Anolis sagrei: one gene and its partner. The protein of the gene in region 1 interacts with the protein of each later gene in a pairwise test. Links are inferred from orthologs where the notes say so. Each region holds a gene or a part of one and is shown on either strand. Other genes may lie near its edges.

Evidence for each region.
Region 2: the proteins of CSNK2B (region 1) and RNF7 interact in a two-hybrid assay, tested with the Homo sapiens proteins (2 studies listed by BioGRID). The link is inferred for Anolis sagrei from reciprocal best matches to the Homo sapiens genes CSNK2B and RNF7.

Annotation. Positions count from the first base shown.
Region 1 is NC_090022.1:19,659,991-19,667,839, reverse strand, and holds the start of CSNK2B (casein kinase II subunit beta), read right to left. Parts: upstream 3,093-7,849; 5' UTR 2,983-3,092; intron 1-2,982. UniProt on the Homo sapiens protein: Regulatory subunit of casein kinase II/CK2.
Region 2 is NC_090023.1:236,793,458-236,800,775, reverse strand, and holds the start of RNF7 (RING-box protein 2), read right to left. Parts: upstream 3,005-7,318; 5' UTR 2,912-3,004; coding exon 2,728-2,911; intron 1-2,727. Other genes in the region: uncharacterized protein, read right to left, coding at 6,327-6,338, 7,204-7,313. UniProt on the Homo sapiens protein: Catalytic component of multiple cullin-5-RING E3 ubiquitin-protein ligase complexes (ECS complexes), which mediate the ubiquitination and subsequent proteasomal degradation of target proteins.

The DNA of each region.
Region 1 (7,849 bases):
TGGAGAGAGAGAGACATAAGCAACCACACTTTCACCATAACTCACCTGGCTATTCTCCCTGCTTACCCAGAAACTAACTCTGTGAAAGGCTTCTCTAGAAGTCCTGCTCCACAGGTACTATTTTCAGTGGCTTTGCCCGTTATGTACCAACTAAAGGCTCTCTGTATACATACCAGAGACAGAGAACTCCCAAACCTTGGCCCCATCTATACTACCATATAATGTAATTTGAAACTGCATTACAGGGTCAGTGCAGATTCATATAATGCAGCTCAGTGCAGTGAAACAGTATTATCTGAGTTTTCACCTGGGAAAACTTGGGCTCTCCAGGTGTTTTGGACTTCAACTTCCACAATTCTGTCTTGGGCCCTTTGCTTTTCCCCCTCAGCTGCTTAAGCGGCTGAGGGGGAAAAGAAAGGGGCCTGAGGCTGTTAGGAATGATGGGAGTTGAAGTCCAAAACACCTGGAGGGCCCAAGTTTGCCCATTTTATTTTTATTTATGGTATCAAGAGCTTTTCCATCAGTTAGAAGGCATCCTGCCTTGTTCCGTTTTACTCAGGGCTCTTATTTTCTCTGCTCCCCAATTTACACTAGAGGTAACATTTGCTGGGTTTTGAGTTGTTATTTCTTGACGTCTCTGTAAAACCAGGGCCAGGAGAACATACAAGTTGATCAACCTTGTCGGTGACCAAGGAACATCCCAAAAGACCTCTTGAGTGTACGCCTTCTGCCCCCTCTTCCTCTTCCTTCCTTAGTGTCGACGTTGCCCCTAAATACAGTTTTCCAGCTCCATTCCAGAGGCCACAGCATCCCAAGGTTGGAGCACCAAGTCCGACCAGTCAAAGACGATGGCCACCTTTTGCCAGGTCTCTTTGGTCAAAGGGCAGTCCCTGATGAAATGCTCAGTGGTCTCCAGAGGCTCACTTCCAGCAACACAAGCTTGTTTCTGGCACAGAAGTCTAGGACAAACTTGTCCTTTTTCTTTCAGCCACGGTTGGTTGCCCTTCAAATAGTATATCTGATGGTATTTATTTATTTATTTGTTTGTTTGTCAAAGGCTTTCATGGCCGGAATCACTGGGTTGTAGGTTTTTTGGGCTATATGGCCATGTTCTAGAGGCATTCTCTCCTGACATTTCGCCTGCATCTATGGCAAGTATTCTCAGAGGTAGTGAGGATGCCATAGATGCAGGCAAAACGTCAGGAGAAAATGCCTCTAGAACATGGCCATATAGCCCGAAAAACCTATAAGAACCCAATTTATTTATTTATCATGTCAGGAGCAAACCAAACAGTTGTATTGCATTAAAAACAAACAAACAAAACTGAAAGTTTGCAAACTTGTTATTCTATTAAATGTCCTTTGACCAGTAGCTGGCCAGTTGGAGTGCTTCTGGTGTTGCTATAAGAAGATCCTTCATTGTGCATGTAGCAGGGCTCAGATTGATTTGTAATAGGTGGTCTGTGGTTTGCTCTTCTCCTCACTCGCATGCCGTGGACTCCACTTTGTGGCTCTGTATCTCGTGGTGCCAGAGCGCAGTCTGTTCAGCGCCAATAATAATAATATTATAAACTTTATTTATACCCCCGCCACCATCTTCCCAATGGGGACTCGGAGCGGCTTACATGAGGCCAAGCTCAAATGACAATTACAATAAAGAAAAACCAAAAACAGAAACCGAAAACGCAAATAAACAATATCATCATAGTTACATAAAACATATGAATACATAACAATATAAAAATTACAATACGCACAGGCACAGTAATAGTGGGCAGGCTACATGTCGTGATTAAAAAGACAAACTGATTAAAACTAATTAAAAACTCGGGTGAGATAATTAAACTAATTAAAAACTCGGCCTATGAGCCCACGAGGACCTTGAGATCGTCTGGGGAGGCCCTTCTCTCGATCCCGCCTGCCTCACAGGCACGCCTGGCGGGGACGAGGGATAGGGCCTTCTCGGTGGTGGCCCCCCGGCTGTGGAGCGCCCTCCCTGTAGACATCAGACAGGCGCCCTCCCTTATGACATTCCGCAAAAGACTAAAGACATGGTTATTTGAGAAGGCGTTTGACTAAGTGCTACAACAATTGGCAATGATGACTGGAACGGAATATGGATAATGAGATTGGTATATGATTCTACGATGAGACGGCGCGGATGATTTAGTGTAATTGTATTATTTGATTGCTATATTGATATTATTGTTGTGATATTCCCTTATTGTAAACTGTTTTTATATGTTGTACACCGCTGTGAGTCGCCCTAGGGCTGAGAACGGCGATCAACAAATGCAGTAAATAAATAAATAAATAAGAAGCAGGTAATTTACGGAGGAGGGCTCATTTTAACGGGAGTTGTGGAATCAAGCTTTCTGTGTGCCCAGGAGGAAGTCTCTCATTTGGTATCAGTCATGGATTGTGGTTCTGAGTTTTCGCCTGCCACTTTTGGACTCTCGTTTGCTGAGGTGTTCCTGTGAGTGTTTCTATAGTTCTCAGAAAACTATTTCTTGATTTAGGGTGTTTGCCCATGCCTGGTTTACACTGTAGAGGCGCCCAACACAATTCAGAACAGTTACACCACATTGTGTTGTTGAAGGCTGGAATCACTGGGTTGCTGCGAGTTTTTCGGGCTGTATGGCCATTTTGGAACGAATTATATGATTTGACTCTAACCCTATAATGCATTATGTGACAGTGCGGATGGGGCCTAGGGTTTGGGGAGGTTGTACGTTTCTGCTTCCTGTGTTTCGATCCGCCTTATATGGTAGTGCAAATGAGGCCTTTCTCCCTCCATGGAAAGGAGAAGAAGCAGCTTCACCTCTATGCGTACCCTTTGGCCACAAACATGAGACCGGCACGCAGCCCTTCTTCCCCTTCCCATGTCTTCCCCAAACACAGCCCCCCGGAAGCCTGAATCCCACCCCACCCGCCTCTCTTTCCCGAGGAGCAACTCCCTAAAACGACCCCCTCAGAACTCACCCCAGGGGGCAAAACTGCCTCAAGGAGAGGAAGCCGGGGCCGCAAACAAGCTTCGGACCTCTAAGGCCTCGGCCAGCTTCAACCGCGCATGCGCCACTGCCGCTGGCAGCGAAGCATCGCGGGACTGTAGTTCTTTGGCGCCAAGAAAGCGCAGGGGAACAAGGGAGGAGGGACTCCAAGCCCCAGAGTGCAACGGGAAAGGAAGCTCAAAGGCAGGGGCTAGGCCGCAGGGCGCGCTGGGAAATGGAGTCCAAATGACCTTTAAGTCCTCTCGGCTTCAAAAGATATTGGTATATTCTGAAACTACAACTCCCAACCTGCAAATGAAAGGCGCTTAAGGGCCCTTCCGCACAGCTTGATATTAAAGAATATCAAGGCAGAATATCCCACATTATCTGCCTTGAACTGGAATATATGTCACTGTGGACTCAAGAGTTCAAACTGATTTTCTGGGGACCCTTCCACACAACCCTATATCCCAGAATACCAAGGCAGAAAATCCCACATTATATGAGTGTGGACTCAGATAACCCAGTTCAAAGCAGATATTGTTACCTATCCGATCACATCTCCGCCTACAAACCCACTAGGACTTTGAGATCTTCCGGGGAGGCCCTGCTCTCGATCCCGCCTGCAACACAGGCATGGCTGGCGGGACGAGAGACAGGGCCTTCTCGGTGGTGGCCCCTCGGCTGTGGAACGCCCTTCCCACGGACATTAGATTGGCTCCCTCATTGATGGTATTCCGGAGAAAAGTGAAAACCTGGTTATTTGAACAGGGGTTTGAATAGGCAGTGCAATGAATTCAGGAAATGGAACTACGATTGACGAGTTTGGATCATGATTCTAGTTATGAGACGCCACTTGAATGTTTGCTACTGTTTAATTGTTTAGTTTGCTTCTGTGTTGATTGTTTTTAAATACCTTGTTGATGCCGCATTGAATTTTTGCTTTCATTGTTTTGCCTTGTCTTGCTTTGCTTGATTGTTGTTAACCGCTGTGAGTCGCTTTAGGGCTGAGAATAGCGGTATACAAATGAAGTAAATAAATGAATAAATAATAAATATTGTGGGATTTCCTGCATTAATATTTGGGAATATAGGGCTGTGTGGAAGGGCCCTCAGCCTCTGCAGAGGGAAAAGGAAGCCTTTGGGCCCTTCCACACAGACCTATATCCCTGAATATCAAGGCAGGAAATCCCACATTTTCTGTTTTGAACTGGAATATATGGCAGTGTGGACTTGGATAATCCAGTTCAAGGCAGGTATTGTGGAATTTTCTGCCTTGATATTCTCGGTTATATTGCTGTGTGGAAGGGCCCTGGATTATATTGCAGTGTAGACTCAGATAATCCAGTGTAACGCAGATAATGTGGATTATCTGATTTGATAATCTGGATTATATGGCAGTGTAGAAGGGGCCTAAAAGCCCTGCACTAGAACATTATTGTTTAAATCAGGGGTCCTCAGACTTTTTAAACCGAGGGCCAGGTCACAGTCCCTCAAACTGTTGGAGGGCCGGATTATAGTTTGAAAAAAATGAATGAATTCCTATGCACACTGCACACATCTTATTTGAAGTGCAAAAAAACCACTTAAAAACTATAGAATAATTAAAATGAAGAACCATTTTAACAAATATAAACTTATTAGGATTTCAATGGGAAGTGTGGGTGTGCTTTTGGCTGATGAGATAGAATTGTTGTTGTTGTTGTTGTTGTTGTGTACTTTCAAGTCGTTTCAGACTTAGGTTGACCCTGAGCGAGGGCTGGGTAAATTACCTTAGAGGGCCGTATTCGCCCCCCGGGCCTTAGTTTGAGGACCCTTGATTTAAATTGTGGGTCCTGAGCCCAACTGGGGCCCTCTGCTCAATGTTGGGGTCCAGAAAAAATCGGCTAACTCTAATCTAGTCGTTGTTTTAGGCATTTACATGAACTTTCTCTGCAATGTTTACTGTGGACTCTGCTGAAAATGCTTCAGTTGTTCTTCATAGAATGGAAAATAAGCTGGCATATGCTGATTTGTTATTATTATTTATTTTTATACCTATTTTATATACCTGAGGTCACATGATTTTTAGGGGTTAGAAAGGGGTCACAAGTGGGGAAAAGGTTGAAAGAAGCTCTACACTAGGACCTAACAAATTCTTAGGGCCCTACCACACAGCCCTATATCTCTGAATATCAAGGCAAAAAATCCCACAATACCTGCTTTGAACTGGGTTATCTGAGTCCACACTCAGATAAAGTGGGATTTTCTGCCTTGATATTCTGGGATATAGGGCTGTGTGGAAGGGCACTTAGAGAGAACATTTCTCTGAGAATCACTGTGTCCTTTATCACAAGTCTATGGTTTGAAGGGACTAGAAGTAAGGTAACACTGTGTAACAACATTTGAAACATTGTGTTTCTATGTTGTAGAAGGCTTTCATGGCCAGAATCGCCAGGTTGCTGTGAGTTTTTTGGGCTGTATGACCATGTTCCGGCTGCATTCTCTCCTAATGTTTCACCTGCATCTGTGGCTGGCATATTCAGAGGTCTGTTGGTAGTGAGGCAAGTGGAGTGTAATAATGTCCAGGATGGGAGAAATAACCCTTGTCAGTTTAAAAAACACCAGAATCAAGACAGTAAATAAGGAACACCATTCAGAAACTGGGGAGCTCCAGATACCAAACAATCATGTGCCAGTTAACACCTCCCAAATAGTGGGTGTGGTACAAAGCCCTGGTTACCTCTATGCAGATACCCCCACTGATTGACTATGCACCTTTATGGCTACCCAGTACTATTCGAGCTTGCTAACTGCAGCATTCATACTTTAAACAGACAAGTGCTCTTTCTTCCACCCTGGACATTCCACATACACTCCACTTGCCTCACTGCCAGCAGACCTCTGAAGATGCCAGCCATAGATGCAGGCAAAACGTCAGGAGAGAATGCAGCTGGAACATGGCCATACAGCCTGAAAAATATACAGCAACCAAAGCATTTACATACTTTGAAAGGAGGTGTTACACTCCAGAAACTTCCATTTTTGTGGCCGTCACAAACTGTTAAATTGATTGAGACTCAATTTTCATTGAAAAACTATCGCAAAATGTGCTGTAGGATGTCCCTGCAGTTTTTGCAGTTTAACAAACTTTTCCTATGTTTTTATGATAGAACCAATTAGGAAATGACATTTAAAACCCAGGAACAGAAATTGTGTTACACATAGGAGAAAGAACTCTTGTCTGTTTGGAGCAAGTGTGAATGTTGCAATTGGCCAGCTTGATTAGCATGGAGTAGCCTTGCTGTTTCAAAGCCTTGCTGTTGTTGCCCAGGAGCATCCTTTGTTTGTGAGGTGTTAGCTGGCACTTGATTGCTTGATGTCTGGAGTTCCCCTGTTTTTGAGTGGTGTTCCTTATTTACTGTCTTGATTTGGGTGTTTTTTTTTAATACTGGTAACAAGATTTTGTTCATTATCATTGTTTTCTCCTTTCTGTTGAAGTTGCCCACATATTTGGGGATTTCAGTGACTTCTCTGTGTAGTCTGACATGGTTGTTGTTATTGTTATTATTATATTTATACCCTGCTTTAACTCCTCAAAGGAGACTCAGAGTGGTTCAGCAGAGTGGTTGTCAGAGTGGCCCACCATTTGTGTGTTCTCAAATACAGTATTATCCTGTGTCCAGGTTGGTTCATCAAATGCTCTGCTATAGCTGACTTCTCTGCTTGAATTTATTCATTCATTTATTTGCACTATTTATATTCCGCCCTTCTCACCCCGCAGGGGACTCAGGGCGGATTACAGTGTATACATATATGGCAAACATTCAATGCCAGTTTTGGCATACAACGTATCTGAAGAAGTACTTCCGCATTCCCTGCATGCTTTTGCTGGAGTGTTTTTGCTGGAGTCTTTTTTATGGCCTCATAAATTAGTTAATTTAGCCTCCCCACACAAGGTGGTACCTAAGTTTCCTACTTGACAGATGCAACTGTCTTTCAGGTTGCAAAGGTTGACAACAGGCTACACAACTGGTTGGAAGCCCACTCCAACCCGGGCTGGCTTCGAACTCATGACCTTTTTTGGTCAGAGTGATCTGAATGCAGCTGACACTTGGCCAGCTGCGCCACAATCCCGGTGAATGGCTTTCATGATCTTCGATTCATGTCTGGGCAATGCTGTGTTTGGCAGTCCCTATGTAGACTCATCCACAGCTGCACAGTCTATGGTAAAATCTCATTAAAATATCTTTTAAAAGAGATTTTAAGGATTTAATATTTTTGAACTATTTGGATTATATTATATCTTATTGTTTTTTAGAGTTTGTCCATGATTTGTTTATATATTACTGTCAGCATCGAATGTTTGTCACTGTGTTTATTTTGCTGTAAGCCACCCTGAGTCCCTTCAGGGACATAGTTTAATTTCATTTCATTTCACCTGCAGTGGTTAGAGGATCCCTCTTATCCTTCGCTGAATGTATCATTTGTTGCATTTTCTTGGTGGGTCTGTAGATTGCTTTTAGGTTGTGTTTCTTCATCAGCTTCCCTATGTGGCCAGTGGTTCCCTTGATGTATGGTAAGAATACTTTTCCTCTGCGTGGATCTTTGTATTTACTTTCATGGCTTGTTCTTGGTCTTGCAGCTCTTCTGATGTCTGTCGTAGACATCTCCTAGAGCAGGGGTCCTCAAACTTTTTAAACAGAGGGCCAGGTCACAGTCCCTCAAACTGTTGGAGGGCCGGATTATAATTTAAGAAAAACATGAATGAATTTCTATGCACACTGCACATATCATATTTGTAGTGCAAAAACACTTTAAAAGAATACAGTAATTAAAATGAAGAACAATTTTAACAAATATAAACTTTTAAGTATTTC
Region 2 (7,318 bases), on another chromosome or scaffold:
TATTATTTATTAGTTATTTATTTGGCGTGCTTCTACCCCGCCCTTCTCAACCCCCTAGGGGGGACTCAGGGCAGCTTACAAAAGGCACAATTCGATGCCTGACAATTCATAAAATACAACATACAAATTACAATATATCGTCAACAATTATAACTAATTAAAACAATCAAACAATACAGCCGCAGCAATAAAAACATATTGTGGCCAATGTTCGTCGATTCATAAATCCATGATCCCTCTAGCATCGTCATTGTCCTTTCCTACTCTGGTCGTCATTGTCTTTTGTCCACTGCCAGCTTACCCGAAGGCCTGGTCCCACATCCAAGTTTTTAACTTCCTTCTGATGGAGAGGAGGGATGTTGATGACCTAATCTCCCTGGGGAGTGCATTCCACAGGCGAGGGGCCACCACCGAGAAGGCCTTGTCCCTCGCCCCCACCAGTCTCACTTGTGATAAAGGTGGGGCCGAGAGCAGGGCCTCCCCAGACGATCTTAAATTCCGAGGTGGGACGTAGAAGGAGATACGTTTGGACAGGTACGCTGGGCCGGGGCCGTAAAGTCAGCTATGGCTGACTTCTTTGGTTGAAGTAGTCTGCAGTGCCTTTCATGTTCCTTGATTCGTGTTTGGGCACTGCTGCGTTTGGTGGTCCCTATGTAGACTTGTCCACAGCTGCATGGTACACGGTAGACTCCTGCAGAAGCGAGAGGATCCCTCTTGTCCTTTGCTGAACGAAGCATTTGTTGGATTTTCTTGGTGGGTCTGTAGATAGTTCGTATGTTGTGTTTCCTCATCAGCTTCCCTATGCGGTCAGTGGTTTCCTTGATGTATGGCAAGAACACTTTTCCTCGGGGTGGGTCTTTGTCTTTACTCTCGTGGCTTGTTCTTGGTCTTGCAGCTCTTCTGATGTCTGAGGTGGAGTATCCATTGGCCTGTAAAGCCCAGTTGAGGTGGTTCAGTTCATCTTGGAGGAGGTGGGGTTCGCAGATTCTTTTTGCACGGTCTGCCAAGGCTTTAATGGTGTTTCTTTTTTTGACTTGGGTGATGGTTGGAGTTTTTATGTAGATATCTATCTTAAGAGGATTCTTAAAGGGACAGGGAGAGGTGGCTAAAAGGAAAGGGGGCGCAGTGGGTTAAAGCACTGAGCTGCTGAGCTTGTTGATCGAAAGGTTGCAGGTTCGATTCCGGGGAGCGGTGTGAGCTTCCGCTGTCAGCCCTAGCTTCTGCCAACCTAGCAGTTCGAAAACATGCAAATGTGAGTAGATCAATAGGTACCACTCCAGCGGGAAGGTAACGGCGCTCCATACAGTCATGTCGGCCACATGACCTTGGAGGTGTCTACGGACAACGCTGGCTCTTCGGCTTAGAAATGGAGATGAGCACCACACCCCAGTCAGACATGACTGGACTTAATGTCAGGGGACTACCTTTACCTTTTATGTAGATTTGTCCACAGCTGCATGGTATACGGTAGACTCCTGCAGAAGTGAGAGGATCCCTCTTGTCCTTTGCTGAATTGTTGGATTTTCTTGGTGGGTCTGTAGATAGTTTGTATGTTGTGTTTCCTCACCAGCTTCCCTATGCGGTCAGTGGTTCCCTTGAACTGCTAGGTTTTCAAACTGCTAGGTTGGCAGAAGCTGGGGCTAACACCCTGCTCCCTGGATTGGAACTACCGACCTTTTGGTGGGCAATGCTGCGTTTGGTGGTCCCTATGTAGACTTGTCCACAGCTGCATGGTACACGGTAGACTCCTGCAGAAGCGAGAGGATCCCTCTTGTCCTTTGCTGAACGTAGCATTTGTTGGATTTTCTTGGTGGGTCTGTAGATAGTTTGTATGTTGTGTTTCCTCATCAGCTTCCTTATGCGGTCAGTGGTTCCCTCGAACTGCTAGGTTTTCAAACTGCTAGGTTGGCAGATGCAGATTGTAGCCAGGAAATCAGAAGACACTTACTTCTTGGGAGGAGAGCAACGTCCAGTCTCGATAAAATAGTAAAGAGTAGAGACATCAGACTGGCAACAAAGATCCGCCTAGTCAAAGCCATGGTATTCCCTGTAGTAACCTACGGATGTGAGAGCTGGACCTTAGGGAAGGCTGAGCGAAGGTGCTTTTGAACTGGAGGAAAGTGCTGAGAGTGCCTTGGACTGCGAGAAGACCCAACCAGTCCATCCTCCAGGAAATAAAGCCCAGCTGCTCACTGGAGGGAAGGATACTAGAGACAAAGTTGAAGTACTTTGGCCACATCACGAGGAGACAGCAAAGCCTAGAGAAGACAATTATGCTGGGGAAAGTGGAAGGCAAAAGGAAGAGGGGCCGCCCAAGGGCAAGATGGATGGATGGCATCCTTGAAGTGACTGGACTGACCTTGAGGGAGCTGGGGGTGGTAACGGCCGACAGGGAGCTCTGGCGTGGGCTGGTCCATGAGGTCACGAAGAGTCGGAGACGACTGGACGAATGAACAACAACAAAAGTTGGCAGAAGCTGGGGCTAACAGCGGGAGCTCACCCTGCTCCCTGGATTGGAACCACCAAGTTCAGCTGCTCAACCCACAATGCCACTGGGGGATCCACAGGCACTCAGAACAAAGCCCTAAATGTTGGTTTCAAATTATGGCCAGGTTCATGGAAATACAGTAGAGCCTCGCTTACCCAAAATCCCTGAAGGGCGGCAGGCCTAAGTTCGCCCGTGCCCGTAGGCCGAGAAGCCCCCAAACCAAGCCAGGCCTGACTCACCCATGACCTGCACCCGGCAGATGGCGCAGGTGTCGCACTCCACGTCCCAGCTCCACATGGCCACGGCGTTCCACTTCTTGAGGGAGAACATCTTGTCCACGCCGCCGCCTGCCTTCGAGCCGGAGGAGCCCGCGTGAGGCGCCACCGACACGCCCGGCTCGTCTCCGTCCTCAACGTCGGCCATGGCTGCGAGCGGAAAGAGCAGCAGGAGCAGGAAGAGAGAGACTACGACGAGTAGGCCCCACGCCGCCTCTCTCGCCTCTCTCCTCTCCTCGCCGGCGCCCCCTGCCGGCCGGAGGAAGGAAGGAAAAGCCACACTGCTCACCCACTTCCGGGTACCTGAGGCACTTTGCCTGCCAGGGAAACCGGAAGAGAGGCCTGTGAGCCTCCAAATCCAGGCCTGGGCAAGCTTTGCCTCTCCAGGTGCTTTGGACTTCAACTCCCACCATTCCTAACACTTTGTTGGTGGTCTGACAGCAATCCAGTTGCTTTCTTTTCTTTGCAGGTTGAGTATGAAGTCTGAGACAAAGCCATGCCTCTATTTGTCACTGATCACATTCTATTGCTTTAACAGTGGTTCTCAACCTGTGGGCCCCCAAGATGTTTTGGCCTTCAACTCCCAGAAATCCTAACAGCTGCTAAACTGGCTGGGATTTCTGGGAGTTGTAGACCAAAACACCCAAGTACCCACAGGTTGAGAACCACTGCTAGAAAGAGTTATCATTAGAGATGCCAGGCACTAGGCCTGGGCCAACTTGGGCCCTCCAGGTGTTTTGGACTTCAACTCCCACAATTCCTAACAGCCGGTAGGCTGTTAGGAATTGTGGGAGTTGGAGTCCAAAACACCTGGAAGGCCCAAGTTGGCCCATGCCCGGTATAACATCTGAGTCAGAGTCATGGCTGTTTTGTCACTGATCACATTCCTATTGCTTTAGAAAGAGTTGTAATTAGGGAGAATGCCAGATAGTACGTAATTCGAAGGTACCCTTTATGGAAAGAAATCCTACCTATGTTGGGGGCCCAAGTGTTATTTCCAGTGTTTCCTACCGGCTGTTAGGAATTGTGGGAGTTGAAGTCCAAAACACCTTGAGGGCTGGTTTGTCCAAGCCTGGGTATAGCCTGAATCTCTGCCCTTAAGAGGATTCTTAAAGGGACAGAGAGAGGGGGGCTTAAAGGAAAGGGGGCTATCTATCTGCCTCTTCACAAACTATACATAAAATGTGAATCCCCTCTAACTAAAAATGGGACTTAAATAAAGGAAACAGTGAGGATCTTCATGGAGGCATGACAATTATGATTTCATGACAACCATGTAAGGAGCCATCTCTACATCCTTGGCAATTAAAGGTGCAGTTCTCTGTGGGACGCAGTTCTGAAAACCATGATAAGACTGCCTAAATCATAGCTTCTTAAACCATGAGTTCTGCCTAGAGATGGGAAGACCTGGAAACAAAAGAAAAATAGTTGGCCCAGGCAGGGGGCATATGCCGTCGCTGTCTGGGGGCTATAGTTCTTAGTGAAAGAAACATGGACGTGACGTCTTTTCCCCAGGGGATTGCTTCTTGCCTTCCTTTAGAGAACTGGAACTCTCAAGAATCAAGACACTATAGATAACTCAAAATAGGCTTTATTGTTCACAAGCAGTTATCTTTCTAAGGCATTAAACTTGATGTTCCAAAAGAGGTAAAGAAAATATACATTACAGTCTCTGGAGTCTTGGGTCCAAGGAGTTTTCCAGCTGAGTAGCTTCCAAGTTCCCTGTATCTCAATGGCTGTGAAGTCGGAACATTCACAACCCCAGTCCAATGACCTATATTGAAGGCACAAAGTCGTCTTCTTGATGCCAAAGGACTGGTTTGAAGGCGCTTAAGATTCCTCAATGTCATCCAGATGAGCTGGGCATGAAGTATGAATCTTAAGAGTACAAACTTAAGAATGTTTGGTAAAAGATGACTTGACTAAGGCCTTAGAGCCAAGCCTTTCTCACGTCCATCTGTTGAGTAGTTTGGTGGTAGAATGAAAAAGAAAGCACTGCCCTCCTCCCTAGGAAGGGGTGGAGCCAAACAATTGAGCTGGGGGAGCAATTTAGCCGATGTAAAACGACATTGATAGAAAACTGTAGATAACCAAACAATTCAACTATATATTTACATACAAGTTGCGCCAGACGCGCCGTCACAGGGCAGAAAAATTGGGGAAAACACTGAAAAAAATACTTTCCCCCATTTTTCTGGTTCCCCCCCCCCCCCCAGGCCTTCCCATCTCTAGCTCTGACCCCAAATGGGCTCCCCTTAGTTCAATGTTCAGTTCACAATTTTTTTTCCTGACTGTCATCTTATGGCTATGTTTAGATATTTACATGGATCTATTGTGCAGTTTTTACAGTGGACTCTACAGAAAATGCTTCAGCTGTACTTCATGTAAAGGAAAATCAGCCTGCTTAGCAAGACTTACAAATGCTGATTTGTTATCAGTAAATGTTCGGTTTTTATACCTATCTTATATGTCAAATATATCCGAGGTCATGTAAACAATTCTTGGGCCAAAAGTGGTCCCAAGTGGAAATGTTTAAGAACCCTGGCCAACATTGTGTAGTTGCCTTCTACGGACTCAGGAACATTCTTGGACCGTAAATTATTCCTCCCAGATCCTCAACTTTGAGTTGTAATGTAAAGATTGTCATGTGCACCATCCCGGAGGTCCTAGTAATTTTAGGGGATACTATCAAGGGTTTTATTAGCTGTGGTAGCTCTAATTCAGTGGTATTAGAGCAGTAGCGAGAAAGGATTTAGATTTTGAAATCTGCCCCAAATTTCTGCAATTTGGTTTTGAAAGAGCTTTTGTTGGGACTGCGCATTTGTGTTCTGCTTCCTTGAGAGGCTTTGTAAGAGGCAAGTGCCGTCTTTAGGCCCACAAACTTGTACGAGTGCTGCAATTAATTGGTGTTTGTGACAGGTAGAAAGCTTTCCAATATTAATCTTTTTGTGTATGTGGGTACTCTGTTATGCCCCACAGCCAATACTGCATTTTTGTTGTAATAATTTCACCATTTTAAGGGTATTAATTTATTTTGACTAAGTAGTGAAAGAAGGAGCTACAGAACTGGGCAGTCATGCTCTTTGGCAGCCAGCCCAACCTCAGTACATTTTCCCCTCCAAGATAAGACAGAATGAATTATGATGGTCCTTTAAAATGTTCTTCATCTGAAATAATATATATTTTGTTACATAATTAGCATACAAACAAAGCCGATGATGATATATAAACTTCGCAATACACTGAGTGTATTTATAAATAATACACTGTTATTTATAAATAACACTGACATCCCACTTCAAAATAATACAAGTTGAAGAGAGCCAATGTGGGTGTTAAGTTGCTATGTAGAGTGTTTAGTTTTTATTTGTAGGCAGTTGCATAATTTTATTTTAATGCAATAAATAAAGCTTGTAAAAATTTAAAAATGTATCAACTTATTCTGGATATTCATAAGAAGAAACTGAGAACACAACATAGTATTTCCAAAAGTAGAGCATCATGTAAAGAATTGCTGAACTTTGATAACCTCTTGAATTTTATATCTTCTGGAAACTTTATAATCACTTAATTTTCTGTAAAATAAAAACAAAGCAAATGTCAGTAAATTTCAGCAAGGTTTGGTATTGGTTAAAGTAAGCTAATAGCCCAACCCCAGCACTCAACGGGAGGAAATATGCAGATAACTTGATGATGTAAATGGATTGTTATGGGCTGAATAATAACACAAGACAAAATTTGGGATTGCATATACACAGTTGCAGACCAATAGTAATAACACCAATAATCTATTAGAAGGAGAAGGAATAGATGACACTCTTCCTCTATTCTATGCATTTCCAGTTCTTCCTGGACTCAGAATGATAAATGATAATGCAAAATCTGGATAGATCTGCATAGTTAAAAGAATGGTATTCCCCGTAATCAACTATGGATGTGAGAGCTGGACCATAGGGAAGGCTTAGCGAAAGAAGATAGACGCTTTTGAACTGTGGTGCTGGATGAAAGTTCTGAGAGTGCCTTGGACTGCAAAAAGATCCAACCAGTCCATACTTCAGGAAATAAAGCCTGACTGCTCATTGGAGGGAAGGATATTAGAGACAAAGTTGAAGTACTTTGGCCACATCATGAGGAGATAGGAAAGCTTAGAGAAGACAATGATGCTGGGGAAAATGGAAGGAAAAAGGAAGAGAGGATGACCAAGGGCAAGATGGATGGATGGCATGCTTGAAGTGACTGGCTTGACCCTGAAGGAGCTGGGGGAGGTGACGGCCGACAGGGAGCTCTGGCGTGGGATGGTCCATGAGGTCACAAAGAGTTGGAAACGACTGAACGAATGAACAACAACATTTAATTAAAATTCCCTGAAGTTAGCAGACTTTGCTTAGTGGTCAAAAATGCCTGGTCAAAAATTTAAATTATGGGAAACAAATTTCTTACCTTCTTTCTTTTTTTAGCTGGACTGCTTTTTGAGGAAATCATGAAAATTTGCTCAAAAGTTGATGCTGAAATCCGTGGGGTAACCATAATTTTTAAGCGTGGCATTTCTTCTATA